Regions from separate parts of the Mus musculus genome. Here all the other regions are reported to be linked to region 1. The links are microRNA targets in miRTarBase. Many come from high-throughput screens and were not tested one by one. Region 1 holds a microRNA gene; each other region holds the end of a gene's coding sequence.

Region 1 (7,119 bases):
AGTTCCTAAGCATACTATCGTGAATATTAATATGGTCATCTGACATTTGATAGTCTGCATAAAAAAATGCATGGTTTTATTTCCTAGGAAAGTATGCATTTTTGAAATGTTTTAAAAGAAGTGGCTAAAGATCATTGCTTTCTAATTAGTGTCCTTCATTCTTTCCTCCCTAACAAGAACCTTCAAATGCTGCAGAAATAGCCTGCAACTGGGAGGTTGTATCAAGAAGAACAAGAGCTCAAGGCCAGCCTGAGCTAATTGAGTCCCTATCTAAAAACAAAGAGGACGTGTACAGACGATGTGCTGTGTGTACTGACAGGAGGAAGTCATCTCTCGATGGCCCTTTTACAGGAGTCATAAATTAAGTCAAGATAAATTTGTCAGATTCACGCAGGAAGTTCTTGTTTTTGATACTTTTCATGGTTTCCTTCCGGTCAATACTATCAACCCATCTCCTCAAAGGTCCTACCCCATCTCCCAGATCAACAAAAACCCAGAAATTAAAGCAGTAAACAGCTCCTCCTCAAGGTGCCTTCCTGGATCTATCTAACCAAATGTAATGGTCTGCTTGGGCATTTTAACCACACCACAGGCATTCTTACTTAGATTAAAACATGAGTCTCCCTGGTCTCTAGACATGCCTAGGCATGACCAGCAGATGCAATAAGATCCTTGGAGTTTCTCTAGTAACTGTGGGCAGGATCAACAGCAACCCTAAGAACAGACATTCTTTTCTATTGTTGCTTTCTAACAGAACTAGGGCACACGCATTTTTTTTTCATCATTTTACTTTTTATCATTGAAGAAAAAAATTTAGTCTAAATTTCAAGACAGTTTATGCAATGATAGCTTTGGATGGAAGCAATAAAACTCAGGTAAGATATTTAAGATGCTACTAATAGAGAAAATCCCTAAGCTGGGTGGAAGCATGACACATGGAGTGAAATTGAGCAAAATGCAAAATAAATGATTTTTTAATGATGTCCTCCTAAAACTTGTAACTCTTCATAGTGTTTATGGGATGGAGGCTATTTCTACTACTTTTATTTATATTTGAACGTTTAAATGACCTTTTGTAGGATACATTATACTTTTCTCAAATACAAGAAGACTGAATACAAGATAGTTATTTACAAATGTCTTTCATAAGTTAATTTTATAATAATCTGGCATTTTCTACTTCATTTTCCTTTCACTTAAGCCTTCATAAAACAATGACTCTGAAGGAAAAAAACATTGTCTTTTACTTTCAAAGATAATGTTAAAATATACACAAGTTTATTCTTGGGAAGTTCTTGGGTTTTAATGGTTTCCACTTGGAATTTGTGTTGAATGTTCCTGATGATTGGCATATATTCATGTAATTAGTGGCATCTACAAGACCATTTGCTGGGCTTACAGGTATCAGTGTATAGCTAAGAAATGTCCCTTTGTAGACTGCAAGACTGTTGGATCAATACAAATGGGTGTCATACAGCATACAGGAAGACCACAGTCTGGGACGGCTACTTCCTACTGAATTCCACAAAGTTTGCAATCAGAGAATACTGTATATCCTCTCTGGGCTCAATTAATTAAAGGAAAGGAGAGGAAAGACTAAAGGAAAGAAATATTAGTGAAGATGGCGCAGAAATGCTGTCCCCTCAGCGCCTCCTATTCCCAATATACACAAACACGCACCCCGTTATCAGATATAAAATAGCAAAAACAAGGGGAATGTAACTGACAGAAGATATGGCTTCTCGGGCTTCTACAGACCTCATCCTTAATGTCCAAATCTACCCTTGCTTCAAGGATCTACCTGAACTCTCACCTCCTCCATGATGGTGTCTGTCAGCTCTTGTTGGCACACCTCCCACCCCCACCCATACCTGTTTTTTTCTATTAGGAAAATCTATCAGTTTAGCAACTTTATACTGTCTGGAGTAATAAATAATGTGTTCACATTTTGTTACCACCTAGACTGTCTGATGGGTAGTAAGACAAACGCCTGTTAGGTGCTGGATTTGTAACATTTAAATAAAACAGGAGCCCAAAGTGAGACTAGATATCCTCAAGGCTCACGGGGAGATCATCAAAACTGTGTCTTTGATCTTATAAGGGCCACAACTTTGACCTACCAACAAGGGTGTTGGTTCAATGTTTGACCAGAAGAGTGGCCCACACTTCACTGTATGGCCCTGTAAGAGGTAGTCCTAAGAAAGAACTTGGGTACAGGCAAGGGCAATCCTGCAGGTATGAGTGCCCAGGCCTGCTCAGGCAGGAAGGCTCCAGATGAGACGCCTGGGAAGCGGTTTCTGAGAATGGGCATATGAACAGTGAGGAGGCCTGGGGCTTCTTGGGCAATATATTGGGAAGGAGAGATGGATGTAGGTCTCTGCGCTTCTTTCTTCGATGTAGCAGTAACTACACTGTGAAGATAAACTTCTCAAGAATCTGTCTCTCCATCTCCCCGGCCCCTTCCCAGGAGGCTCTGCAGGAGCCCTCCCATTGCCCCTTCTGGTAGCTTCTGCCACCCCTCCCCCACTCGCCCCGCCCCCTCGGCCTCGGGGTTCCAAGGGCGGTTGGTCGCTGAGCCACGGTCACTCGGCCAGTAGGAGCTGCGGGGCGCGCGGGCTGGACAGAACCGGCTCTAGACTTGGGTCTGGAAGCCGTGAAGAAGTTGTTGGAGGCGGGTCAGACCCGGCTTGCGGGAAGAAGGACTCGGGCCGGATGCCCTGGGGTCCGGGCTGAGTCGGGGGTCTCGGGGGGGACGGCGGGGACAGGGGGCCTCAGCGCCTGGGGGTTCACCTGGGGTCGCGCGCGGCCCTGCTGGGTGTGGAGGGGCCTCGGGAGCCTGAGGCACCTCTCGCTCCGCCGCCCTCGCCTGTCGACCGTGGCGAAAGGGGGCGAGGGGCCCGACCCTCGGGAGCTGCAGTGGCGGGCGCCCGGTGCTCGGTTTGTAGGCAGTGTAATTAGCTGATTGTAGTGCGGTGCTGACAATCACTAACTCCACTGCCATCAAAACAAGGCACAGCATCACCCGCCGCCCGCGGGAGGAGAAGCCAGCGCTGCAGCCCCACTGACTCCGCAGAAAGCCGAGGCCGGAGCCAGGATGCGTCAGCAAAGGGCCGGGAGCACGAGGTCTAAGTGCAAGTAACCCTCGGAGACCGGCGGCCTCCTTTAGGGACCGTTCGGCTACCTGTGTGTAAGAGCCAGAGCAAAAACGGTTCAGTGATGTGTAAAGAGAATCGGTATACACCGGCCTTAACATAAAAAAAAAAAAAAAAAAAAAGGCCAGGAAGAGCCCCCCCCCCCCCCCCCCCAGAACAGTTCCTGCTGCTGCTGTGATTCACTGCCTGATTTCCACTTCTGAGAAAGCTATCACCAAGGCAGCGACTAGAGTCAACCACAGCTTGGCTGACGATTTGCTCTGGTCACACCAAAGTCTGAGAGCACCAGCTAAAGACTGCATGCTTTTTTCTGAGTCTAGTTACTAGGCAGTGTAGTTAGCTGATTGCTAATAGTACCAATCACTAACCACACAGCCAGGTAAAAAGACTGAAATTCCTCCGACTGAGCCTCCTGTGAATCGTCATTTTGGTGAGGACAGAGCCATAGGGAAATATTCTTACCATACTATTAGTGGTTTGGGGGGGGGGGGGGAACCGCTAGCCCTTAGCTGCTAAGTATACAATGTATCAATTTGTGTGGGGTACATTTTTTGTGATTTTTAGATATATTGGAAAAATAGAAATTATCCCTTAGCTGATTTGGTCATTATATTGACTTGTGATTATAAATCTTTGGACTTTGCCTGACATATTAATAACACTCTAAAAAATAAAGCGCCACGAAAATCTCAGCAATCGTGTTCATTTCCTTTCCAAAAACTGGCTTTAGGATCTCCATTTCAGCTCCTGTCAACCCCGTAAAGTCATTAAATGGTTAGTTGCTATACAGACAAAATCTCCAGGGAAACGTCTCACACATGATTGTGACCTGGAAGGGAACGTTAAATGTTTTCATAATTTTCCATGGGGCAAGGGAACTCAGCCCACTTAACCAGGTATATTTTTTAAGGTATTAACAGTTGCGTTCTAGGCAACTTTTCGTGGGAATAATTAGTGAACACGATTTAAAACCAGCTGGTTTCCTAATATCTGTAATAAAAGATTTGAGAGGTTTTAAATCACACAAGCTGTATCCACCGGTACTTCTCGGCCCAGTTCTAGATTAGCGCTTTATGCAGATGTATCAATGCAAACCTGAGAATTTCCCCAGAGGTAAGAGTGCGAAGCCTTGGCAATCTTGTCCAAAAGAGGAAGGCGCTCTTTAAAGCTCACATTATTGGGCTATCTGGGGGAGGAGGAGACGCTGGCTGAGGATCTAAGAGACAGTCCAGGACTGTACACATCACAAAGTTGAGGCTTTTACTCTTAAGGCTTGACTGGCCCCGAAAATTGTGACCTCGACAGAAGCCAGCTGCTGATGGGCCACAAGCCCTCGAGGAACCCCAGATCTACGGAAGAAGAAACACAGGCATTCCGGTGGTGGCAGTTACCAACAGGACGGTTCTCCGGTAGGGGCGGGACGCCAGAGCTAAGGAAAGCGTCCTGAGTCACCATGGAAACGGGGCCCAGAGGCTGTCCTAGCGGCAGGAAGGAATCCCAGGAAATCTGCTCCCCTGGATTACTGGTGTTCACCGGCTGCTCTGAGCAGGATGCCAATTTGGCTAAGCAGTTTTGGCTCGGGGCGTCCATGTACCCCACTACCGAATCTCAGCTCGTGCTGACCCGAGGCAGCAGTCAGAGGCTACCGGTGGCGCGGAACTCTAAAGTCGTTCTGAGAGGTGAGTAGCAAGGCTACCTCCTGGAAGGGGAAACTGCCTGGTCTAATTGTCAGTCAATTGAGAAGTACAAACAAGCAGAAACAGGCAGTAATAGGTATATGCAAATACACAAACAATTCTAAAACTGCTGCAATTCTCCACTGTAAAGGATCTCATTGTTACATATAAATTCATTCTAGAGCTGGAGAAATGGCTCAGCAGTTAAGAGCACTGACTGCTTTCCAGAGGTCCTGAGTTCAATTCCCAGCAACCACATGGTGGCTCACAACCGTCTGTAATGGGACCTGATGCCCTCTTCTGGTGTGTCTGAAGACAGCTACAGTGTACTCACATAAATAAAATGAAAATCTTAAAAAAAAAAAAAAATTCTAAGAGTCCCTTAAATGATGGCTTTTATTTGGCAAAGAGGATGGGTTAATCTAAGGAAATGGTGCTTAGATTAGGAAAGCATTTACATAAAATTGAATTCAAATTTAAAAGCCCAAGAAAAAGTTGTTGGCAGAGTCTAATTTAGGAACCCTGTTTCCTGACTGACAAGCCTTCGGGCCAAGGATGTATAAAGTGTTCTTATTCAATATTAATAGGTATATGAAATTAAAATACTGTTCATGTCAGCTTTTCCAATAACTTTCTCTTCATTTGTATTTCTTAGAGAAAAGTTCTGTCCAGCCCTTTCCCTTTGATCAGGACAGTAAGTATCAAGTTTTAATGCCTTTTTATATGTAGACTCCCCAGATTATCTTAGAATTCCTAGAAGTATACATTTACACTGTGATATAACTAAGCTGCATATCCCACACCTTGCTTCAGGGCTCACATACTCACCCAGAAGATAACTTTCTGACTCTACAGGCACTTTCTCCCCAGCATCCCTGACCCCACAGGCACTTTCTCTCCAGCATCCCTGGTCCCACAGGCACTTTCTCCCCAGCATCCCTGACCCCACAGGCACTTTCTCTCCAGCATCCCTGGTCCCACAGGCACTTTCTCCCCAGCATCCCTGGTCCCACAGGCACTTTCTCTCCAGCATCCCTGACCCCTCAGGGACTTTCTCCCCAGCATCCCTGGTCCCACAGACACTTTCTCCCCAGCATCCCTGACCCCACAGGCACTTTCTCTCCAGCATCCCTGACCCCACAGGCACTTTCTCCCCAGCATCCCTGATCCCACAGGCACTTTTTCTCCAGCATCCCTGGTCCCACAGGCACTTTCTCTCCAGCATCCCTGATCCCACAGGCACTTTCTCTCCAGCATCCCTGGTCCCACAGGCACTTTCTCCCCAGCATCCCTGACCCCACAGGCACTTTCTCTCCAGCATCCCTGAACCCACAGGCACTTTTTCTCCAGCATCCCAGGTCCCACAGGCACTTTCTCTCCAGCATCCCTGACCCCACAGGCACTTTCTCCCCAGCATTCCTGGTCCCACAGGCACTTTCTCTTTAGAGGCTGTTTCTTATCTCCACTTATGATTTACTCATCATGTAAAGGTATGGGAGGGTTCCTGACATCATGAATAATTAATGCAGTCTTCAGTTATTTACCAATCATTATAATGTCAAGACAGTATGTATTTGTGTCCCTTCCTACTCTATTCTCCCATATCCAATTTCATGTCAAAACTGTAAGAATTATGACAAAGTTGTGTCAGATTAAATTTGGTTTTATTTTCTCTAGAGGATGCAATTATCTTTGCTAAAGCCCAAAGGATTCAGGAATCTGAAGAGAGAGCAAAGTATCTCCAAAAGGTGAGCCAGCGCTTCATCTCTCCTGGTTCACCTCTCTGGTTCTCATTACCTTTCTCCATCATTGATAAATACTGTTTGTTGTTGTTGAGGACATTTTATTTTTAAATGCATGTAAATAAAATGTGCTACTTCTGCTACCTAAGCTTTGAAAAGCTTTTTTTGTTAGAATTTTAATTAAGCAGTTAGAAATTCTTGGAGCTGGACAGGTAGTTCAATTTTTAAGAGTGCTTGTTCTCGGAGGATTCAAGTTTGGTTCCCAGTGCCCATAAAAAATGGCTCATTACTGCCTGTAACTCTAATTTTAGAGGTTCTAATACTTTTTTCTAGCCTCTGTGGGCATGAGGGACACACACACACACACACACACACACACACACACACACACACACACACATCTTTTAAAAGTCAGGCTAGTAGCACAGATTTTATTCCCAGCCAGTAGAAAAGTAGAGGCAAGAGAATCAAAAGTTAAGGCAACGTGCTGGGAGAGTGGTCAATGATTAAGGGTGCTTGCTATGCAAGGACGGGACCTGTGTTAAAATA
Region 2 (7,119 bases), not on the chromosome of region 1:
ACCTGCAAGAGTCAGAGGAGGGCCTTGGACACCCCGGACTGGAGTTTACAGAGGGTTACAAGTCAGCATGTGGGTGCTGGGAACAGGCCTTCAGTTTGACTCCCAGTGCTGCATCGCTAAGGTGTGATGGTGTAGAAAGGGCCATCTATAACCCCACCATAGCAGAGACAAAACGGAGAAGTTCAAGGTTATCTGCAGTTACATAGGGAGTAAAAAGCCAACCTGGGCTGGAAATCCTTTCTCAACTAAGTCAATTAATAGCAGAGTGATTAAACTGATACAGTGTCGTTTTGTCAAACACCTAGAAAAATTTGTAACTGCTTTATGCCAGCAAACATAAAATCAGATTTAAGAGATAAAAGGTATGTTCAAAGAAAGACTGGCCCAGTATATGATGATACGTCTGTTTCTGGGTGGTGCACGGATGTTCATGTTCACGTGTGTCCAAATGTGGGGTGTGTACATGTGGAAGGGAGGGGTCATTCACCGTGTTTTCTGAGACTGGGTCTCTCATTGCCTTGGAGCTAGTCAAGTAGGACAGGGCAGCCAACCTTCAAGTCACTGGGATCTGCTTGTCCCTGCCTTCTCACTGATGTATTTACACATTTGTGTCACAATATGCAACTTTAATATGGATTCTGGGGATCCAACTTAGGCAAGTCCTTGTGCTTTCAATGAAAGCAATTTCTTTCAATCAAGCTATTTCTCTAGCTCAAAACATACACCTATTTTGTAGTTATTGCAACGGGCTGTTTTAGAGCTAAAGAGACAGCTCAGTGGGGGAAAACAAAAACAAAAAAGAAAGAGTACCTACTTGGCAAGCATGAAGACCTAAATTTGAATTTCCAGCACCTACATAAAAAGCTAAGTATAGCTGCCCATGCCTGCAACTCCAGCATTGTGGGTAGAGATTGAGAGGATGCTGAGAGCTCATGGACCAGCTAGCCTAACTAAACCATGAGCTTCTGGTTCGGTGAGAGACCCCCGTCTCGAGGCAGGAAGGCAGGGAGTCTCCAGAAGTCCGAATGAACCAGATGTGTGGCTGGTTTTTATGTCAATGCCTGCAAGAAGTCCTGTGGTCTTTTAAGTGTAGCATCCTAGCCAGACAGTGGTGGTTCATGCCTTTAATCCCAGCACTTGGGAGGCAGAAGCAGGTGGATTTCTGAGTTCAAGGCCAGTCTGGTCTACAGAGTGAGTTCCAGGACAGTCAGGGCTATACAGAGAAACCCTGTCTCGAAAAACAAACAAACAAACAAACAAAAAAGTGTAAAATCCTAAAAAATAAACTTTTAACTTCCTTCCTAGGGCACACCTGCAAATCCCAGAGGAATCCTTCTTTGCAGAGCACAAGGACTTTCAGAGCTGGTTGCAAAGTTCTTTAACCCTGTGACTGCAATTCCCCACCCTGTCTGGGTAGGGCTGTGGGTGTGGTGCTGAGTTGCTACCTGACCCTCTAGGACCATTTAGAAGATGGTGGAGTCTGAGTTCCCCCCACTCTGCTGGGCTCCTTTCCCAAATAACTGCAGTCCTAGCAGCTATAGTATGCCACCAAAACCCAAGATGAATACAAAAAATTATCTTAGTTAATAATACTTGACATGTGTATTTTCTCTTATCATGGATTAAAAGAACAGAACAGAAAAAGAAAATTTTGAATGTCTAGCAAATAATAGTTCTCATTGCCTTCAAATTATAGCTAAGCTAATTTGACTGAGTACTTTCTAATCAATATTCATGTGATTAGAATTGCCAGTGTGATGGCGCGTCCCCTGCTTATAATCCCAGACCTTTGGAGAGGCAGACTTCAAGATCAGCCTGAACTAAATAGTGTGAGTTCCAGGCCAGCCTGGGCTACAGGGGACCATGTGTCTATGGATAAACAAACAAGGATATTACACATGGTTATCTGCTAATACTCTAAAGGTTTTATAAGCTGCTCTAAGATCCCAAATATCCTTAAAATATTTCATTACTCTATAACTGCACAACACCTCAAGAAAGTGAAAATAATTTTTAGGAAATTACCTTTATTTCCAGAACTCAGGAGGCAGAGGCAGGAGAATCTCTGAGTTCCAGGCCAGCCTGGTATACAGGAAAGCCAGGACTACACAAAGAAAGCCTTTCTTGAAAAACAAAACAAGACAAAAACAAACAAAAAACCTCCAACAAAACAAAGAATAAAATGCTAAAAACCAATTTTAAACTTCCTTCAAATCTTTGAGAAGCTGCAGAATGCTACAAATGTTCCCCACTAACACGTGCACACTTGCATGTTTGAACACAAATGCACTTACTGAAGCGTATCTAAGGACTGCATAATCAATCAATTGAACACAATATAGCCATTGAATGTCTGTTGTATCCCAGAGATGGCAGAAATACATGAAAGAGTACCTCCCCCCTCCCCCCATAGAGGTGATATCATAGGGAAGATAATGAATTATTTATTTTTGGTTCATTTTTAAGCATTAGGATGGAATCCCAGGGCCTTATGCATCCAAGCAAAAGGTCTGCCACTGACCTTGTACCCAGCCCTATCTTTTGTTTTTCTGAGATGGGTTTTATGGAGCCCAAGGCTGGCTTCCCACTTGTTATGTATTCGAGAACTCAAATTCCAAAAAAAGCTGGGCGTGGTGGTGCACGCCTTTAATCCCAGCACTCGGGAGGCAGAGGCAGGTGGATTTCTGAGTTCGAGGCCAGCCTGGTTTACAGAGTGAGTTCCAGGACAGCCAGGGCTAAAGAGAGAAACCCTATCTCAAAAAAACAAAACAAAAAAGAACTCAAGTTCCTCTTTCTCTCGCCTCCACTTCCTGGTGGCTGGGATTACAGGCAAGATAATCACAATTATCTAAGAAATATACTAAATTTTAGAAGTAATTAATAAATTTTGTCTAGAAAGATGACTCAGTAGCTAAGAGCACTTGCTGTTTTAGCAGAAGACTCAAGTTCAATTCCCAGAACCTCCATAGCAGCTCCCACGCACCTATAACGCCAGTAGGACCCTGATACCTTCTGGCCTCCATAGGCACTAGGCACACAGAAATGCACAGACAAACCACCGATACATGTTTTTTAAAAAAGAGCAAAGGCTGGCCATGGTGGTACGTGCCTTAAATTCTAGCACTCAGAATGCAGGGACAGGCAGTGAGCTCTGTGAGGTCAGGCCAGCCTGGTCAGGGCTGAGAGACCTTGTCTCAAAGTAAACAAATAAAATGTCAAAGCTATACAAGACTTAAAATCCTTTTCTTAAAGAAAACTGTAGAGGTTCCTTAAGAAACAATCAGATTTGCTCTCGCGTGTCCCTGGCTGCAAGCAGGAGTCAGCTTCCTAAACATCTGTGCAAAACGCAGCAAGACTGAAATGGTGAGGGACATAGCTATGGTTCTTCAGGCTGTTGGGTGTGTAAGCCACGGAACCACGAAGCTCTGCGTAAGGCAGCTCACACTCATAGGACACGTGATGCTGATGCTGGACGCAGAATTCTAGATCTGGAGGAGGCAGGGGAAGGCCAACTGAAGATGAACTATGGGATGAATGTTTACTTTCTCAAACGACTTTTGGACATCTCGTATTTCTCTTTGGATTTTCCCTCTGCTTGTTTCCACATGAGAGCTGTAGAGTCCCAGCAGGCTTCATAGCAGAGCAAAGTCAGGAGCTGGGGCGTAGCCTGAGGTTCCAGTGCTTGGAAAGGAGAGAAAGGAGCAGGAGCTCGAGGCCAGCCTGCGATACAGGAGACCCTGCCTCAAAATGGAATGAATCATACATTTAAGAATTTGTTCAGTGTACCTCAAGGTGGTGGTGCACTCAAGAGGGAGAGGCAGGCTGAACTCTGTGAGTTCGTGGCCAGCCTGGATTATAGATTGAGCTCCAGGACAGCCAGGGCTACACAGAAACTGTCTCAAACACCCCCCTCCCCACCCACACCCCAAAAAACCAGACATGTGAACAACAGGCAAAAAGAAGAAAGATCTTTTCGGTATTGATCTCGGCTTTTATTTTAAAATACATTTAGCATAGAACTGTCATCAAACAAAAACAAACACAGAGAAATAGAATCTTTTCTAATTCTTTTTAAGTGACACACAAAAATTAATAGCATAACAGACCCAAAGTGGGGGACCCTGTCTATAGCTCAACTCACAGAGCACATCTGTGGAGCAATCCCTGCTCTCCGCAGCTTCTGAGCTCCCTGCGTACCGATTCTTTTCTAAGCACCTCGCTTTCTTCTCCTGGTGGCCAAAGGGTCCAAATTTACTTGCTTAAAGTTGATCAGATTCTTTGTGGGTAAAAACTACCAAGCCCCCAAGCTTTCAATGAGAATTATAAAAAATAAGAAGCTCAGATACTTTCCTTGTCCAAAATAGAAACGTTTTCCTTCTAAATAATCAGAGATTATTGCACTAAAATCATTACCTCCACCTGGTGTTCATTTGTATGGAAAATTAATTCTCTTCTTTACAAAAAACCTCACCACAAATAAACGTAATGTTAACCTAATTGCAATCACACTTCAAAATATAAAGGCACAGACAGGAAAGAATAGCTTAACACTACACTCAAATTTACCACTGTAAAAATAATTAGTTGGGAAAAATAATAGAATCTTAGCTACGGATATTTCACGTTTGGATTTTATAATCTACCTTAGATTGCTAAAGAGTGGGGTATTAAAAGATAACGGTAGGAAATCCAATCCTTTTCAAATAATTTAGAAAAATGGCTTGTGTACATAGGAAGGGTATACACTGTCTCATCTATAAATTTCAGTGATGTTTCCACTCCCTGGAAGTATTTATTTGTACTATACACAATCAAGACAACGTACTTACATATATATACTGTTCCAATAACTTGCAATGCACAGAAAAATACTTACAAAAATGGAAATACTTATCCATTTAGCTTTCCAATAAATTAGTGAGAAAACTTAGCAATTCCACATTTCTTTCTAAAAAACGACTGAAGAGTTATGGGCCATTTACTTCTGTTAGTTTGATATATATATTTTAAAAATATTTGCCTGATGATGTGGCTTATGATAGAATTAGAGTGTCACTTTTATATCACAGTATACATGGTGTCTCTTAATTCAGGAAAAGAAAGGCACAGTTAGCAAGCAATAAAATTCAGTACCTGAATTGGTGTGACCAAAACAGTTGGGAAAAAAAATACATTCAACACAGTGTACAGAACTTTAAGAATGGAAAAAAAAATCTCAAACAGCAAACTTCCCCCAAAACTTGGTCCATTAGAAATGCCTCTCGTTCATGGGTAAATGAAGGGAGCTGGCAGTGTGGGGAGAGACAGTAAGTCAAGTGTGCGGTAGCACACAGATTTCTGTCTGCTAATTACCAACTCAACTAGGAAATGGCTCCCAGAGGAAAGAAACACTAAGCCTATTTGTTAATAACAACATGCCTGCATTAATTCCAAAAACCTGGGCACAACTGCATATTGTTACTGATTTTTTTCAATACACCCCACTGTTGTTAGGTAAACAGTTGTATATATAATATATACTAGACACACCTTTGCACACCGTGTGCCTTAATATATGGTATATATAACTACAATTTGTAACAGCACAGAACTCCCCAAACATTTGGTGAACATTCTAAATGGGCGCGCCATTTCTCAGCACTGAGAGAGCTCAGCCCACGTAAAACAACATCTGGTGTGCAATGAGAGAATGCACTGGCTGCAGAATTTACTTCTTTAAGTCAAATTCTTGCAGAAGCCTCTGATCCAAGTTTTACCTAGAGAATAGCTTTAGATATAGCTGGTAGCCTCCTTTCTTATAACAAACAGTGTTCCTCCATCAAGAGATACCAATAAAGGAAAATACATAGGGGACCAAAAACGTGATGGAGAACCCAACCATCCCGTAGGTAATATACCGGTATGGCAGCTCCACTTCCATGTGCTGCCTTGCTTGGCGAATGTCATGACACGGAATACTGGAGAGTTTACAGGCTAGAGGAATGGTGATCTTCTTCATGATATCCCTCACGAACAGTACAAGCAGCATTCCTAGGACGATCCGTAATATGGCTTTTCCAAACAGAGTTACAGTAAGAGGGGGGATAGCTAAGGGTAACATGTGCAGAGAAGGTTCTAAGGATAGGCCCAGGGTATAAGCAGCGTGTGAGCCACATGCAATCCCAGCACCACTTCCCAGAATCTCAGCCGTGTCTCCTCGGGATGTGCTCCAGGTGTCAAGGGTGAAAGAGAAGATGCCCAAAATTAAGTGAAGCCCGATGATGATGAGCGGCGCATATTTGTAAGTTTGGTTGAAGTTGTCAATCAGGTCCACCAATGGGTAGAAGATAATTAAGATTAAAATGGTATACAAGAATCCAGCAATGACATCCTAGAAAAGATAAAAGTACAGTTAGTATCGTGCTCTTTTAACTTTAAGCCTTACAAACCAACCATACCGATGTACTGGAACTTGGGCTGGGGCGGAAGCCTGGTAGGTAGGGTGTTTGCCTAGCATGCATGAAGCCTGGATTTGATTCCCGCACTGCAAAAATGAGGCATATTGTTGCACACTTATAATCCCACCAGTGGGGAAGTAGAGGCAGGAAAATTAGAGGTTCCAGGGTTACACAAAACACTGTCTAAACAAAACAAAACAAAATGTTAAAAAATATATATTGCGGGGGGGGGGGGTGTGGGGGGGAGCTGGAGAGATGGCTCAGTGTCCGAAAGTTCTGAGTTCATTTCCCAGCAACCACATGGTGGCTCAGAACCATCTGTAATGAGATCTGACTGACACCCTCTTCTGCTGTGTCTGAAGACAGCTACAGTGTACTCACACATATAATAAGTAAATAAATCTTTGGGCTGGAGCGAGCAAAGGTCCTGAGCTCAATTCCCAGCAAGAACTTGATGGTTCACAACCATCTGTATAGCTACAGTGTACTCATATACATAAAATAACTAGATCAATCAAAAAATATATTGTACCAAAACTTGTTTTAATGATAAAAAGGATTCTGTTTGTTTGTTTGTTTGGCTTTTTGAAATAAGGCTTCGCTGTGTAGCCCTGGCTGTCCTGGAACTCACTCTGTAGACCAGAGTCTCTGGTCTCAGATCTCTGAGGTCTCAAACTCAGAC
Region 3 (7,119 bases), not on the chromosome of region 1:
TAAGTGGGCGCAGTACTGTGAGACTAGAAGCTGACCTAGAGAACAGTGCTTAGTTAGCCTTAGAACAAGAGGACTGTCAAAGGAGTCAGACCAGCTCTGCCAGATAAATAACTGTGTGGGACATGTAAAATAGATACTAGAGTGAGTTAACTTCTGATAATGAGGTGACCCGAGCCAGGTCCTGTCTCTTAAAAACAGTAGCTTTTAATTTCATAATCTATGAATGATCATAGTTCTTAGATTTAAAGGACAGAGGCTGACAGTTCTAATCACCCTTCAGAAAAAGATGTTTCTAAAGTTGCCAGAGGAGTTTGACCAAAGGACTAAGACCAGGGTGGCAGTCACTAGAGAAGAGGAGACCAAGCTTGGGAGGAGTGGAATTTACTAGGAACTTGGCCTGACGGGTTTGTAATTGGCGGCATGGTACACAGGAGGACTAACTGTGGGTGATGGAGGACTTGCAGCATCTGTAGAAGCAGCCCAGAGAAACAGAACATAGTCACACTGGAAATGTGGGAGCGCTAAGAGAAGAGTGGCTCTGTAGGAGCAGGAAGGGCAAAAAGAGTACCTCCCTGTTGGAGGCCTGGGGTACCAGAAGTCCTAGGAGAAAGGGAACCTTTTAGGAGCTGCAGAGGGTACAAGGAAGGCTGCATCTGGAGTAGAGCCAGACCCCAAGTATCCAGAGAGCATCATGGCTGAGTCAGGGCAGAGCAGAGTGGAAGCTAGTTGCTCTGACAAAGGCCATGTGGCTTATGGGGCTTCTAGGGGCCTCCCAGCCCCGACATGGCCCTGAAGAACAGATGGGTGCCTGCCCTCCTCAGTCTTGTTGGTCATGAACCAGAGTCTCTGACAATTAATCCTGTCACTGTTCTTAACTTCTCTTCAGACTGCTGTTGATGTTTTTAAAAGGATAATTTTGGAAGCAGAAAAGATTGATGGAGCAGCTTCACAAGGAAAGTCTTCGTGCTCGGTGATGTGACAATTCTGCTGCAGAGCCTGCGGACACTGGGGATATATTCCACCTGAGGAAGCAAACTGCCCGTCATCCTTGAAGATAAAACTATGCTTCTGTTTTCTTCTGTTAACCTGAAAGATGTCATTTGGGTCAGGGGTCCTCCCCTTTCAGATTATGTTAACGTCTGACTCTGTCCAAATGAGTTCACCTCCATTTTCAAATTTTAAACAATCATATTTTCAATTTATATATTGTATTTCTTAATATTATGACCAAGAATTTTATCGGCATTAATTTTTTCAGTGTAGTTTGTTGTTTAAAATAATGTAATCATCAAAATGATACACATGTTACACTACTATTAACTAGGCTTCAATATATCAGTGTTTATTTCATTGTGTTAAATGTATACTTGTAAATAAAATAGCTGCAAACCTTAAGCCTTTGAGCTACTTGGTGTGGTTTTTAAACCAGGAACCATGTTAGGATGGGGCATGGGCGTGCACATCGTTTGTTTTTGTTTTGTTTGCTTTTTCGAGACAGGGTTTCTCTATGTAACAGCACTGGCTGTCCTGGAACCCACTCTGTAGACCAGGCTGTCCTCGAACTCGAGATTTGCCTGCCTCTGCCTCCCAAGTGCTGGGATTAAAGGCGTGCACCACCACTGCCTGGCTGTACAGTGTTCCCTGGTTCTATTAACCCCGGCTCTTTTACCTCACTTGGCCCCAACACCTCCCTCTTACATTTTCACATTCTCTCCTGCATCCAGTTATTGCCTCCTGTTGGCATGTTAGTTCATCTGGTCTCTATCTTCCGTGTTAACTGCAGTGGCCATGTCATGCCTAGTAAACAGTATTTTACTGCACTCCCATCCTCCATCTCCTTTGTTCTTTCTGCTCCCTTTCCCACAGTATTTCCTGAGCCTTTGCAGGGAAGACGAGCTTGCTTTGTAAATGAAGCCCCTTCCCAGTTAAAGTTTCACAGAACCATCTCTAATACCAAGCAAATGCTACAGCCCACGTAATGAAGTGCATATCCTTTAAAGGGTGGTGACCAGGCCTGTGGCCTCTGCCCAAGAATTGAGAGGTGATAAATTCCTTCCTCTTCATCTACCATCGTGGCAGTAAATATTGTCACAAATGAGCATGAGCGATCTTGCAAGGACTGGGGAGGTGACTCAGTTGGGAAAGAAAGTGTGTGTGCAAACGTGAGGACCTAAGATCAGAGTCCCAGTATTTACTAAAGCCCTTACTGGGGAGGTGAGACAGGCTTCCTGGAGCTTGCTGTCACCACTCTAGCTGAACTGGACAGCTCGAGATAGTGTGTCATAAAAGATAATGTTTATCTTAGCATATGAAAGTCATCTTAGCTTCACTGAGCTACAGGAGGCACAAGTGTAAAACTAGGGTTATGTTTACAAGTATTTTACAGCTCAAACTTGAATCTCAAAGTACAAGTAAAATCACATTTCAAGGGCTGGAGAGATGGCTCAGCGGTTAAGAACACTGGCTGTTCTTCCAAAGGTCCTGAGTTCAAATCCCAGCAACCACATGGTGGCTCACAGCAATCAGTAACTGCATCTGAATATGGCTACAGTGTACTTAGATATAATAAATAAATCTTTAGACTGGAGTGTGCAGAGGTCCTGAGTTCAGATTCCCAGCAACCACATGATGGCTCACAACTATCAGTACAGCTACAGTGTACTTATACACATAAAATAATTAAAATCACATTACAAGGTAAGATTTACATGGAATTTTGCTAAAGCAGCCATCTGCTCTGCTCTCCCCAGTCTGTTTCTTCATCAGCTACCTCCCTCCGTAGGCTCTCCTAAACATTGTTAATAGCCCCCAGGCGCCTCTGTTTTCTGCTGTCTTTCCAGCCACATGGCCCACACCTGGCTGCTATGTTTGAGTCCTAGGGTTTCCTGGTGTCTTCAGTGACTTGGTGAAACTAAGCGTGACTGTTTTGTTAAGCCTCTCACTGGGCCTTTCTTCTGCCTTCACTTTATGTGTTCATGGCTTTAACTGCCTTTGAGGCAGGAGGATCAGATCTGAGGTGGAGGAGGTAGAGGGAGAAGAAAGGAATTTTAAAAACGAATATACAAACTCTGCTGCCTGGTGAGTTTTCTGTCCCCATCTTATCCTTATCGCTTTATCTACTTGGATTTTCTCATGGGTGTTTCTAGTGTGTTGTTGTTTCCTTTTTTGGAGGGGTGTCTTGCCATGCAACCCAGGCTGGTTTCAAACTCAGTCAGTGTACCACAGTGGGTACAGCGGGTGTCTGTCGTCATACCCAGCACTCCCAACATATAATTACTGATTTTACTCAAAAGTGTGGCCTGCCTCTAGGATTTCAGCTTATCTGCAGGTACTTGTCTAGCACGTCTTCCAACCTCTGTCCCCTGCTCTCCCACACAGCCCACCTGTGTCCCCCTTCTCTGTTACATCCAATCCAGATCTGGGAGACTCGGGCCTGGAGCCTGTGTCTGCCTTTCCCTCAGCCTTCAGTGTCACCTCTTCTAGGGGCTTCCACATGGACCTGAAGCGACCTTGGTATGCTAAGCCCTGGTGCTTCATCCAGAACAGCAGATGTCAGCTGATCATCGTCAGGGTCCCCGGGTCCTCCCCAAATGTCACACTTGGAGCTGTGAAACAGACACTTCATTGAACTACTTCAAGTTCCTATGATTTTTTTTTTCCTGCTTACCCTGAGAATTTACAACATCTTAATTCTTAACACTCCTACTCAGAAATGCAAGTTGATTTCAGCAGCTAATGAAAGCAAGCAGGTGTGTGTCTGTGTGTGCTCCATGCACTTGCCTTGTTTCTGCTGCTACTGCCATGAAATGACACTTCGATATGCTGAGTGCCTTACCAGACTTGTAACTGCTTATTACAAATAGGAGAGATGAAAGCCTCATGTAGTAACACACACCTTTAGTCCCAGCTCTCAGGAGGCAGAGATAGACAGCCCTGAGTTCAAGGCCAGCCTTGTCATTAGAGTGAGTCCAGGACAGCCAGGGCTACACAGAGAAACCCTGTCTCAGATAAGAACAAGACTAAAACCATGTGAATGGGACAGAGCTCCCTCTGCAGGAGGCCTAGGTTCAGGCCCAGCCCTGAAAAGGGAAGGGAAGGGGCCCCAGTGGTCATATTTTTACATGTTTTTTCAGTTTTATTTTAACTATGTGTCTAAGTATGTGCATGTGTGTGGTAACCCCTGGAGGCCAGAAGCATTGGAGATAGTTACAGGTCTGAGTGCTGGGAATCAAACATGTGTCCTTTGCAAAAGCAATACATGCGTTTAACTTCTGAGCCATCTCTCCAGCCCCCTTTTACCTCTGTCTCACACCTTTACAGATCCCTTGATTCTTTGTGTAGATTAGTTTTTGTCTTTGTGTCAGCCTATAAGGTATTTTACATTTCCTATAGATAAAATATAATAATAGATTATAACGCATTATCTATTATCTCTGTAACATATTAACAGACAATAGAGATAATATTTCCTCTGGTGTTCTCGCAAGCTTTTGTTCATATGGAGAATTTTCACTTCTCGAGGGTCGTCTTGTTCGCTCACAGACTGGAGTCCTGCTGGCAGCATTGGGCTAGCCTTAATGCTGTGCACATAGCTGGAGACTAGCTCATTTCAGAGTTCTAGGAAGGTTACCTTCTTGCCAGCCTTCCCCATGGGTACTGAGGCCAGTCATGGCCAAGAGCAGCCCACCTGTGGGATGTATACACTCCTCTCTGGCCTGCCTCCTTCCACCTGCTGAGGCAGGTGCACACCTGCCGTTTGTCCTCAGTGCCTTCAGTCCCTCTCCTGTGGCAAGTGGAGCTTTCTTCACCCTTGGTGCCCAGTGCCATGTGTGATGCAGACTCAGAATGCAGCCCTGGTGATCTGGAATTGTGCAAGGACTCAGAATATGCTGCTTCTCATCTTTTTTTTTTTTTTTAAGATTTATTTATTTCATGTATGTGAGTACACTGTTGCTGTCTTCAGACATATCAGAAGAGGGTATCGGATTCCCATTACAGATGGTTGTGAGCCACCATGTGGTTGCTGGGAATTGAACTCAGGACCTCTGAAAGAGCAGTCAATGCTCTTAACTGCTGAGCCATCTCCCCAGCCCACTGCTTCTAATCTTTTGGGGGAGGGGGCGGGGGGTTGGTTTTGGGGGGTTTTATGGGTTTTTTGTTTTGTTTTGTTTTGTTTCGAGACAGGGCTTCTCTGTGTAGCCCTGGCTTTCCTGAAACTCGCTCATGTAGACCAGGCTGTCCTCAAACTCAGAAATCCACCTGCCTCTGCCTCCCAAGTGCTGAGCTTAAAGGCGTGGGCCACCACGCCCGGCTTAAATAACTTTTTTTTTTTAATCTGCAAGCTTGGATGTTTCCAGGGCCTTTGACAAACACATCCATAGTCCATAGGTGACTGTTGATGGCCACCTGAGTGCTCATCGGGACTCAGTCCTCACTACTTGGTGAAGCTTCCTGCTTCCCTGACAGCCACCAGCCTGGTGGGTGGCCTCAGCCTTCCTTCAGCAGTGTGAGCTAGCCCCCAAGTTCCACATCCTTCCAAGCAGGGTGGACTCACAGATGGCCTCTCCACACAAGCTTACAAAGGCTGAGAACAATTCTTCATACCAGTTTGACCTGTGGTATCAGCAACACTGGACTCTGCTGCCACGGTGACAGAAATGCAAGTCTGCCGCTATTCCTTCATCAGGAGAGCCGCTGCTCAGTGTGCCGGGTCACTAGCTGGGCCTTCAGAGCTTGGCGCCCAACTGCTATTGCAGTACAGTAGGATCTGTCCCAGCCCACAGCCAGGGAATCGGTGGTAATACAACCTTGGTTCGTCATCAGAGGAATAGATGCCGAAAGTCTCATGGCCACTCTCGCAGGTTTGATTGGTTTATCAAAAGGCTGGCCTGGAGCCCAGCTCCGATTCAGCCTCCTACCTAGCTGGGAGGGTGTCAGCACACACACTGATCCTGCTGTGTTTTGTGTAATTTTTTATTACATTTGTATTTACTTTATGTATGTGGAAGTCAGAGGACAACTCTCCAGAGGCAGAACTCCTCTCCACTGCGAGGCTTCTGGGAATCAAACCCTGGTCATCAAGTCATTGGCTCTCTCACAACAGACTGTATAGATTTCAAATACTGTGGTCTCAGTAATTGAGACTTTTACACAGTTCTTCCTGCGCAGGGCCAACCTGTTCCCAGCAGGGAACTGTACTGCACCGAGGCTCCGGGCTACTTGGGATCTGTCTTTTTATCCCTAGTGTCTATGGACTGGCAGAGCCAGGTAAGTCAGCAGCCTTTTAATGCCAGTGAGGCAAGCATCCTGGGCTTCATCCTAAAAGGAGAAGCAGCCTGGTGTGGAAGCCAGAACAGCTGAAAGCCTGCCTTTCCATGCTGATGTCCCCATCTCCTTGGCTGTGAAGGAGCCTACCTGGCACGACTTTCTCTGCATCTGTAACTGTGGTGCAAAAAGCGCTCAAGTGATGCTCAGAGCCGTCCTGGCCTCTTGCCTCCCTGGAGCACCTGGTGTGAAGCCAGGAAGGAAAGAGCAGCCTGGGCTGGCTGTAGCCAGCTGCTGCCAGCTGTGCAGTCTGCTTCCCCTTGCTTCCCCTTCTGTGAAACGTAGCCCCGTCTGAGCGAGCCCAGGTGGTCTCAGCTGTCTCTTGAGCTGAAATGTTCACCTGTGGAAACTAAAAGTCCTCCATTTTTACGAGAATTTTTTTCTCTCTCTCTTTAAATTTCAAAGGGGGTTCCTTTGAGTTATTCTTGACACATGGCTTCTCTTGCCCATCTGCTTCAAGTCAGGCAGGGTGGTGTGTACTCTGCCTCCACATGTCTCCATGTCTCTGAACTCCTGCACATGTGTCCTCTACAAATACCACAGAAAGCACTGGATCACCTCCAATAGAGGAGATAAACACATTTTGTGCCCCTTCCTTCAGCTAACAAACTTGAAGCACTGAACCTCAAAAAAGTAAAGGTTTTAGATAGTAGAGGCACATGCCTTTCCGTGCCAGCACTTGGGAGGCAGAGGCAAAGCAAATCTGTGAGCTCAAGACTATGGTCTATGATTTCGAGTTTCAGGCCAAACAATGATGTCCTGTCTCAAAAAGCAAGTTAGAAAAAAAAAAATATT
Region 4 (7,119 bases), not on the chromosome of region 1:
TCACACTGGGATATAGCTTCAGTTCTTGGGAGCTCTGACCGCCCTCTTCTGGCCTCCATGGGTACTGCATACAACAGTGTACAGCATACAGGCCAACAAACCACCCATGCACCTAAAAAAATCTAAAGAAGAAGGAAGACGAAGCCTGGGAGCCTACATGCTCTGACCCCATAGCTGTCAATACACTGAAGACATGCTCTTTGTTCTGAATAAAATTTTGTTTTCTACATGTTTCCATCACTCCTAGCTGTTTGTTTAATGAAGTTTGAAGAAGCAATATTCCTGCCTGCCAGGACTCGGCAATTTCCAGACATCCTGAGGCTAAGCCATGGTATAGAGATGTGGAAGCTGTTGCCTGTGTGGTCCTCACACAGCCTAACCCTGGTCTTACACCCTCTTGGTGGGGACAGAGGAGAGGTCTGGGCTTTATCTGTTGGGGACAGATGTAACTGGCCTTCCCTGTCTAGGTGCTCTATTAAGCTTAGGCCTGGTTTTAGCAATAGTGGTTTTCATCAGAGTGGTTGCAGCTAGGGTGCCCCAATCTTTAGCAGTGTACTGATGAGGGAAACCGGCAGATGCCTAGAGAAATGGGAACCCTCCCTTTGATTTGTGCTGTCTGAGCATCATCCTGTGTCTGGCACATATCAGAGCATGAAGAACAAGGTTCTAGGGACAGGAGGAGCACTTCTCCTATGCCCATAGCAGCTCTTAAACATGTACCTGCAAAGGTGTCAGAGAGCCAGGTTCCAGTCTGGCCTCTGCCTTTACTGTGCAGCCATGGGCGGTCCCTAGACCTCTCTGAGCCTTAAGTCCTTCACTTTTGCAATGTGAGGACTAACAGTGAGTTCACTCTGAGAAGAAACAAGGATCATAGAGTAGCCAGGCTCTTAGGGCCTCCATCAGTGGGCACTACTACATAGCTCTAGGCAGGGCAAACATTTGGATGGTAGCTAAAAATGTTCACCAGCTCAACACCTGCAGGCCCCACGCTGTTGGGGCAGCTGCACAGGATGGGCATTCTCGCCAGGGGCTCTGGAGGCTGCCCCTGGCACCAGTAATGCAGTGAGTAGCCTCTGGCACCTATAGGATGGCATTGTGATTGAGATGTGCACACAGCTCTTAGTACTTCATGTGGCCCACAGTCATCCACACTTAGAGTGGAAACTCAAGGGTTCTTTGGAAAGTTTGTTGTGTTGGATGGTGTTTTTCTCAGGCAAACAGGTGAAGGAACGCTTCATTGAAGCGGACAGAGGTGAAAGACTGATGCAGACTCAGTGAAGACATGAGACCAAGGGGCATTTAGCTATGCAAGCAAGTCAAGCTCGGCCTCCTTCACTGTCCCTTGTGTCCTATTTACACTCCCTCCAAACATCACGAGTCCTCCACAGGTCTTGCCTGGAGCACACGTCGTGCCTCAGTACATGCGTCTGTCTCAGCTGACATCACTCTGCCAATCAGCCTGAGTCTGTTGAAGCGACAAGAAACTGCAGCACACCAGACTTTTGTGTGTGTGTGTGTGCATTTCTCTCCATGGAATCCCCACAAATGGAGCTCAACTCCACAATGTAAGGCAGATTGACATATGCGTCTTGTTAGCAAAGAATCCTTCATCTCGTGTCCTTTCACACGCTTGCTTTAGCAGAAACGTTCCTTCACAAGTCTGCCTGAGCCTTTCAACTGTATCTGCGTCGATGGATCATTCCTTCACGTGTTTGCCTTAGCCAAACACCATCCGACACAACCAACTTTCCAACGAACCCTTAAGTTTCCACTTCACATATTCACAGTGTGTTTTGTGTGTACACGGGTGTGTCTGTGCACATGGAGGATCTTGGATACTGCAGAGCTGTCACCTTGTTTTTTGAGACGGGGCCTTCTCATTGGCCTGGGGCTTGGCCTGTGAGGCCGAGGGATCGTGTCTCCTCCCTGATGCCAGGTTTACAAGCATGTACCACCATGATCGAATTTTTTTCCTTGGGTTCTACGTCTTCATGCTTATGCAGCTAGCATTACTGACAGATCCATCTCCCCAGACCTAGAGGAGTCTCTGTCCTTACAAATAACACCGAGTGACAGGGCTGGCAGGTGCAGGGATCACCCAGAGCCCGCAGGACTATGGAGAGATTAACACCCCAGTTTGTTTTCAAAGGGCAGATGGCAGCTGAGGGGCTCTGGGTACAATGTTGCCCAGGGTGCAGTGTTGTGGCAGGTCTGGCCAGATACCCCTCTGCTGTTCAAGTTCTGGCCCTGGGATCCGCTCCTCCCACCTCTGGACACCAAGCCCCTCAGGAGAGTGCCAAACTCTTTCCCTTCAGGAAGGTCTGGGTGTGGTCGGGGTGGATCTAGTCCCCACTCTTGCTGCCTACTCTGTGCCATGCAACTCGGGCAAGCCCTGGGGCCTCCCTGAGCATCCTGTCTATGAAGGAAGGTGAGAATGGCCTTAGATGTCCTGAGGGAAGGTACCAGTGCGCTGGCCTGGGACCCAGTGTTTGTGGAGAGCACATACTCAGCTCTGTAGAGTCAGGAGACCTTAAGCCCATCGTGGCCCTTGGTGGGAAAGGTCAAGGTTGGTCCTTTGGAGACCCCAGCAGTGGCATAGCTTAATAATGCTTGCTGGGCAAATGTGAGCAGCCAAGTTAGATTCCTGGAACCCATAGAAAAAAGCCAGCCATGGTGGCACATGCTTAACATCTTGGGATCAGAGAGGAGACAAGAGTATCCTTAGGGCTCACTCGCTAGCTACCAGAGTAGGCAAGCCCCAGGCCAATGAGACTAGAGGCCTTCTAGTGTGGCCATGGCTTATCCTCCATGTCTACCGCCAACCATGGCTGTCCCATCTCCCTGCCATGCCTCTCTGAAAGTTTTCCTGATGTCACATTCCTAATACAGTCAAGAGAGACCCCTATTATAGGGGGCTCAGGAGACCTGGTGGGACCCCCCCCCGAGACAATCCCTTTACCTCAAAGACCATGGGAACAGCCACTAACTCCCAGCAATGGAGCTCCAGCTCTGTAGCTGAAGAGAGGCGTGGTGGGCTGAGGTGACAGTATCGGATGCTAACCTGAGCATCCACATCACTTTGGCCGTGATGATTTGAATCCTGACCCAATATCTACTAGTTGTAGCAATTCAGACATGATCCTTAGTTACCTCTGAGCCTCAATGTTTCCATATATAAAATGGGTGTAGTGACAGTACTCAGTCTACACTCTATGAAAAGCATCCGATGGAGCCCAGGCCAGCCAATCCTGTATCACAGCCTGCTCAGCAGCAGAAAGGTCCCACAAACAAATTTTTATCTTATTAGTCACTCAGAGGTCCTGAGGAGACAAGCTCGGTTTACACATGTGGGTCAGAGGTTAGCCAAAAGACACACAGCCAGGAAGTGGCCTTTTCATTCTGATGCTGCCCTGGAGGCTGTAGATAAATGGCAGCTGTGGCCATTTATCCACCTCTGCCTCCCTCCTTACAATAAAAGCCCTCGGAGAGGTCTGGGCCACAGGGAATACAGCGGGGAGGGAAGCCCTGACTTGCTCACAATTCAGTGGCTGCCTTCCACCCATTCTAAGAACTTGCAGCCTCTGCAGGGTGAGCCCACCAGGGGGCACTAGAGTGGAGGCTGCCCCCAGATAGCGCATTAAACTAGGATACTCTGTGGATGCTTGTGTGTGAGCCTTAGTGTCCTTACCTGGGTTTGTGGTGAGTTAAACACACCTGCTGCAAAGGGAGACAGGCCACCCATCATGAAACAAGTGCCAGGCAGTGGGCTCTGCAGGTACCATCTGGGGACCCCCTCCTCCAGGCAGATGCCAAGCTTGGTGTCCCCACTGACTCTATTTCCTCCTTCATCTGGGTTAGGGTTGGAGTCGAAGACACAGCCAGACACAGCCCAATCTTGATGGGAGCTGCTCCCTGCCCTGCCCACCCCACTGGCTCCCCGAGGCTGCTCCCCACCCTGGTCAATTCACTAATCAGCAGCCTTGCGAGCCTCATCTTAGATGTAACATTTGTTATTTTATTGGAAAAAGCTGGTATTAACATATTTATAATTTTATTCAACAGTTGGATAATTTGTGAGACACCGAAGAAAAAAAAGAATGCACCTATGAGCCACAGAACCCCAAGTGACTGGGCCTGACTATGTTACCAGCACGTAGATACCCAACACCCTCCAAGGGCGTCACCCTCAGAGAAGAATCAAAGCAGAAGAAAACAAACTCAAAACCCCAACAATGTCGTAATGATTATGGGAAATGCCACGTACTCAAGACCAGAGAACTTAAGCAGAGTAAAGTGGCAAAGTCTGTGGCTTGCAAGGCTCTGGTCCTTCTGCCATTTTTCACACCGCCCCTCCCCCCTCCGCACTTTTTCCTCGATCAATACACACATTATTATTAGCAGTCCGCTCTGAACCTGGGTGATTTCTTCGGGTCCCAAAGACTTATTTTTTTTTCTTCTGAGATCTTTTTCTGTCTCTCTTTTTCCTTTCTACTTTGATACCCGACATTTCAAACAGAAGTCTGGAAACTAGGGCCATGTGCAAGACCCCTCCTTTTGAAGACCGTGTAAGATTTGACTTTGAAGACATTATGTGTGAAACCTATGACCTCATAGCAGCCTCCAGCCTCCAAGGCGAATCTTCTCTAACGCCAAACCGCAAAGGCAGATGGGTGTGCCAGAGATCCAGGCCAGTGTGTAAGGCCCTCTCACCAGGATTTTGGCTTCAATGGGATTAAATACGACTGGCCACATTCTTCAACTTCTTTACAAGAGGGGAAAGTCGCCGATCTTTTAATTGCTAGCTTGAATCAGGGTCAATATGTACATATAATACTGTCCAGAGCGCCTGAATTTTACAGTGATAAACATTCTTCATTCACGTTGACTTAGGAAAAAAAAAGCCAAAAAATGTAATGGACCCAGTTTCTGTGTAAATACATGGCCAGAAGTGAGTGTGCATGCGGTTTGTGCTTTGACACACACAAGGATACCTTGATCCACTGAGAGAGAGAGAGAGAGAAAAAAAACTCCATCACATCTGTTTCCTGGGTGGCAGTCCATGTTGTAAAAACCAAAGCCCCTCTGCTCTCTGCTTCCAGGGTCAAAACGCCAAGCCCTGCAGTTCTGGGATTTCAGGAATGAGGATGGAGTAGGGGTCACTATGAAATGAATGGCCACTCACCTGTGGCCCTGAGGAGGTCTGAGAAAACGTCCTCTGGGGCTGCCTGGCTGCATGCAACCTCCTTGGGGAGCAGCCGGAAGGGTGAGGAGAAAGCTGCAGGTACAGTGTCGGTGACGTGCATCTTGAGAGGCAAGCAAGGATGCCACTCTTCTCCATCTTCTCTCTCTTGTGACATCTTGTCACCAGCTCGCCTGCACTGAATGCCTGGCGTGGAAATGTTTCCCTTCTAAAACCTTCCCTTGGAATGCTGCTTGAAAACCAGTCACCCGTGTGTGGCGGGTTGGAAATGGGACACCAGCTCAGCCCTCGGGGTATGACTCCCTAGGCACCCCACTTCTCTGCTCAGAGCCTTGGTTCCCTCCTGTATTCAGAGGGGACGGTTACTAACCCCAGCTCCAGCAGAGCCTGGATCTCAGCTGGGAGTTATGGAAATGAGCGGACACCTGTCTCGTGGGCATGAGGATTCTACAGTCAGGGACAGGACCGGCTGTCGGCCATGGGGAAGATGACTGGCTAGCATGGAAGGGTGACAGCAAAGCCATCACAAAGTGGGCTGCGGGGATCCAGCCACAGCCACCATGGGCTGAGCACCATGTCCAGCGTGCAGTGGGCTCACAAACGGACGGCAGTGAGGTGAGGGCCACAGCCACACAGGGTCCCCAGTCCTGCTTCTCAGGACTTGCCTTAGCCTGGAAAAACCCACCCGAGGGACCCGGCCCTGCCTCACGATTAACCCTACGACTTTGGCTCTGCTTCTCAGAACCTGCCCAGGCCTGGCACCTAGAATACCGAAAGACATTCCAAACACCCAAGTGACAAGCTGCCACAACCAGCACTCAGTGAGAATTCTGTCCAAAATCCAACATGAAGCAGCAGCTCTGAGCCAGCGCACATGGCTGGCTGGCTCCCTTGAGGATCTGCAGATCCTGACTGCCCTATGAACTTTCTCTGGAGCCCCATCATGGACCAGCTTGACTTTCCCTGATAGGAACTGACCCACCCTGGACATGAATAAAGTCCTGATAATAATGAAAGGCCCAGCCAGAGACAGGAGGGCCGTAAACAAAGGAGCCCTGGACCGGGCACATCTGCTTTATCCGCCTGTAACTGGGGCTTCCCCCTTTCCTTTGTTTAAACTGGCAATTACCATCCAAGCCAACTCCAGCCTTGGGACTCATGTCCCCACAAATGGCCACCACACTCATCCTGTCCTCTTACAGAGGTGGCCGGGAGGGCCACTGAGGCCAGCTAGTGCATGTCAGAGTTGACCTTATCCTGGAAGATGTACAGGTTGTTGGTGGCTGCAATGGCAATGATATTCTCAGCTGGGTGCCAGGCCGTGTGCAGGATCTTCTTGGTGAAGTCCAAGCTGTCCACACTGATGTCGTCACGCCGCCGCTTGCCACCCACACACACGCGCCTTGGCTTGAGCACCGCTCTGGGTTTGCTGCTCTCCCGCGAGGCTTCCAGTGTCACGTCCCTCTTGGTGTTACGGTCGAACATGCGGAAGAAGTTGTTGTAGGCCCCTGTCATGATGACACTGGAGAGAGAAGGAGAGGAGTCAGTGTAGGAGGAGAGAGGGGACAAGGACACCCCAGAGCTATGGGGTGAGGCAAATGCCACAGCAGGCAAGGGGACCCTGGAGACAGACTTCTGCCCCATACTCTCTGCTCCTCTCCTAACCAGGGGCTTTGTCTAGTAAGGCATGGAGCAGGCTATTACCATGATACCTTCAGGAAGCAGGCCTGGGCCTAAAGGAGGTATCTGGGGTTGTTCTAAGGAAGGCTGAAAAAGCTATGGGGAGAGGAGGAGAAAGAGGCTGACTGCCACAGAGGAGGGGATATTCACACCGTTTTAGTGGGTGAAGAAGAAGGTAAGCAAGCCTACACCAGTCTTGAATGTGTAGAGCATAGAACACTTGTGTGTATATTTATGTG

Evidence for each region. Region 1 holds the annotated microRNA mmu-miR-34b-5p (AGGCAGUGUAAUUAGCUGAUUGU, at 2,944-2,966, shown strand). A microRNA usually pairs through its seed, bases 2 to 8, with sites in the 3' UTR of a target mRNA and lowers its output. Matches are read on the target gene's strand: a 7mer-m8 pairs with bases 2 to 8, a 7mer-A1 pairs with bases 2 to 7 and ends in A, and an 8mer does both.
Region 2: the mRNA of Sgpp1 is a reported target of mmu-miR-34b-5p. Seed matches in the 3' UTR shown: 8mer at 5,287-5,294.
Region 3: the mRNA of Rheb is a reported target of mmu-miR-34b-5p. Seed matches in the 3' UTR shown: 7mer-m8 at 1,618-1,624.
Region 4: miRTarBase lists Ppp2r2c as a target of mmu-miR-34b-5p. Seed matches in the 3' UTR shown: 7mer-m8 at 5,807-5,813 and 7mer-A1 at 5,051-5,057.

What each region holds. Positions count from the first base shown.
Region 1 is chr9:51,099,457-51,106,575 of GRCm38, reverse strand. Mir34b (microRNA 34b) reads left to right here and starts at 2,931; the gene lies at 2,931-3,014. Hoatz (HOATZ cilia and flagella associated protein) reads left to right here and starts at 4,498. Exons shown (of 6, transcript NM_177702.4): 1 at 4,498-4,831; 2 at 5,484-5,522; 3 at 6,506-6,576. The coding sequence starts at 4,606. Mir34c (microRNA 34c) reads left to right here and starts at 3,466; the gene lies at 3,466-3,542. It also overlaps a transcript of Btg4 not described here.
Region 2 is chr12:75,710,295-75,717,413 of GRCm38, forward strand. Sgpp1 (sphingosine-1-phosphate phosphatase 1) reads right to left here. Exons shown (of 3, transcript NM_030750.3): 3 at 3,954-6,370. The coding sequence ends at 5,819. Gm40890 (a long non-coding RNA gene) reads left to right here. Exons shown (of 3, transcript XR_872828.2): 2 at 1-121; 3 at 1,306-1,746. Among named protein-coding and RNA genes, the nearest start is that of Gm40890, 12 kb to the left of the region's middle.
Region 3 is chr5:24,797,524-24,804,642 of GRCm38, reverse strand. Rheb (Ras homolog enriched in brain) reads left to right here. Exons shown (of 8, transcript NM_053075.3): 8 at 887-1,820. The coding sequence ends at 979. Among named protein-coding and RNA genes, the nearest start is that of Rheb, 41 kb to the left of the region's middle.
Region 4 is chr5:36,951,954-36,959,072 of GRCm38, reverse strand. Ppp2r2c (protein phosphatase 2, regulatory subunit B, gamma) reads right to left here. Exons shown (of 9, transcript NM_172994.3): 9 at 3,995-6,722. The coding sequence ends at 6,431. Among named protein-coding and RNA genes, the nearest start is that of Gm52813, 15 kb to the right of the region's middle.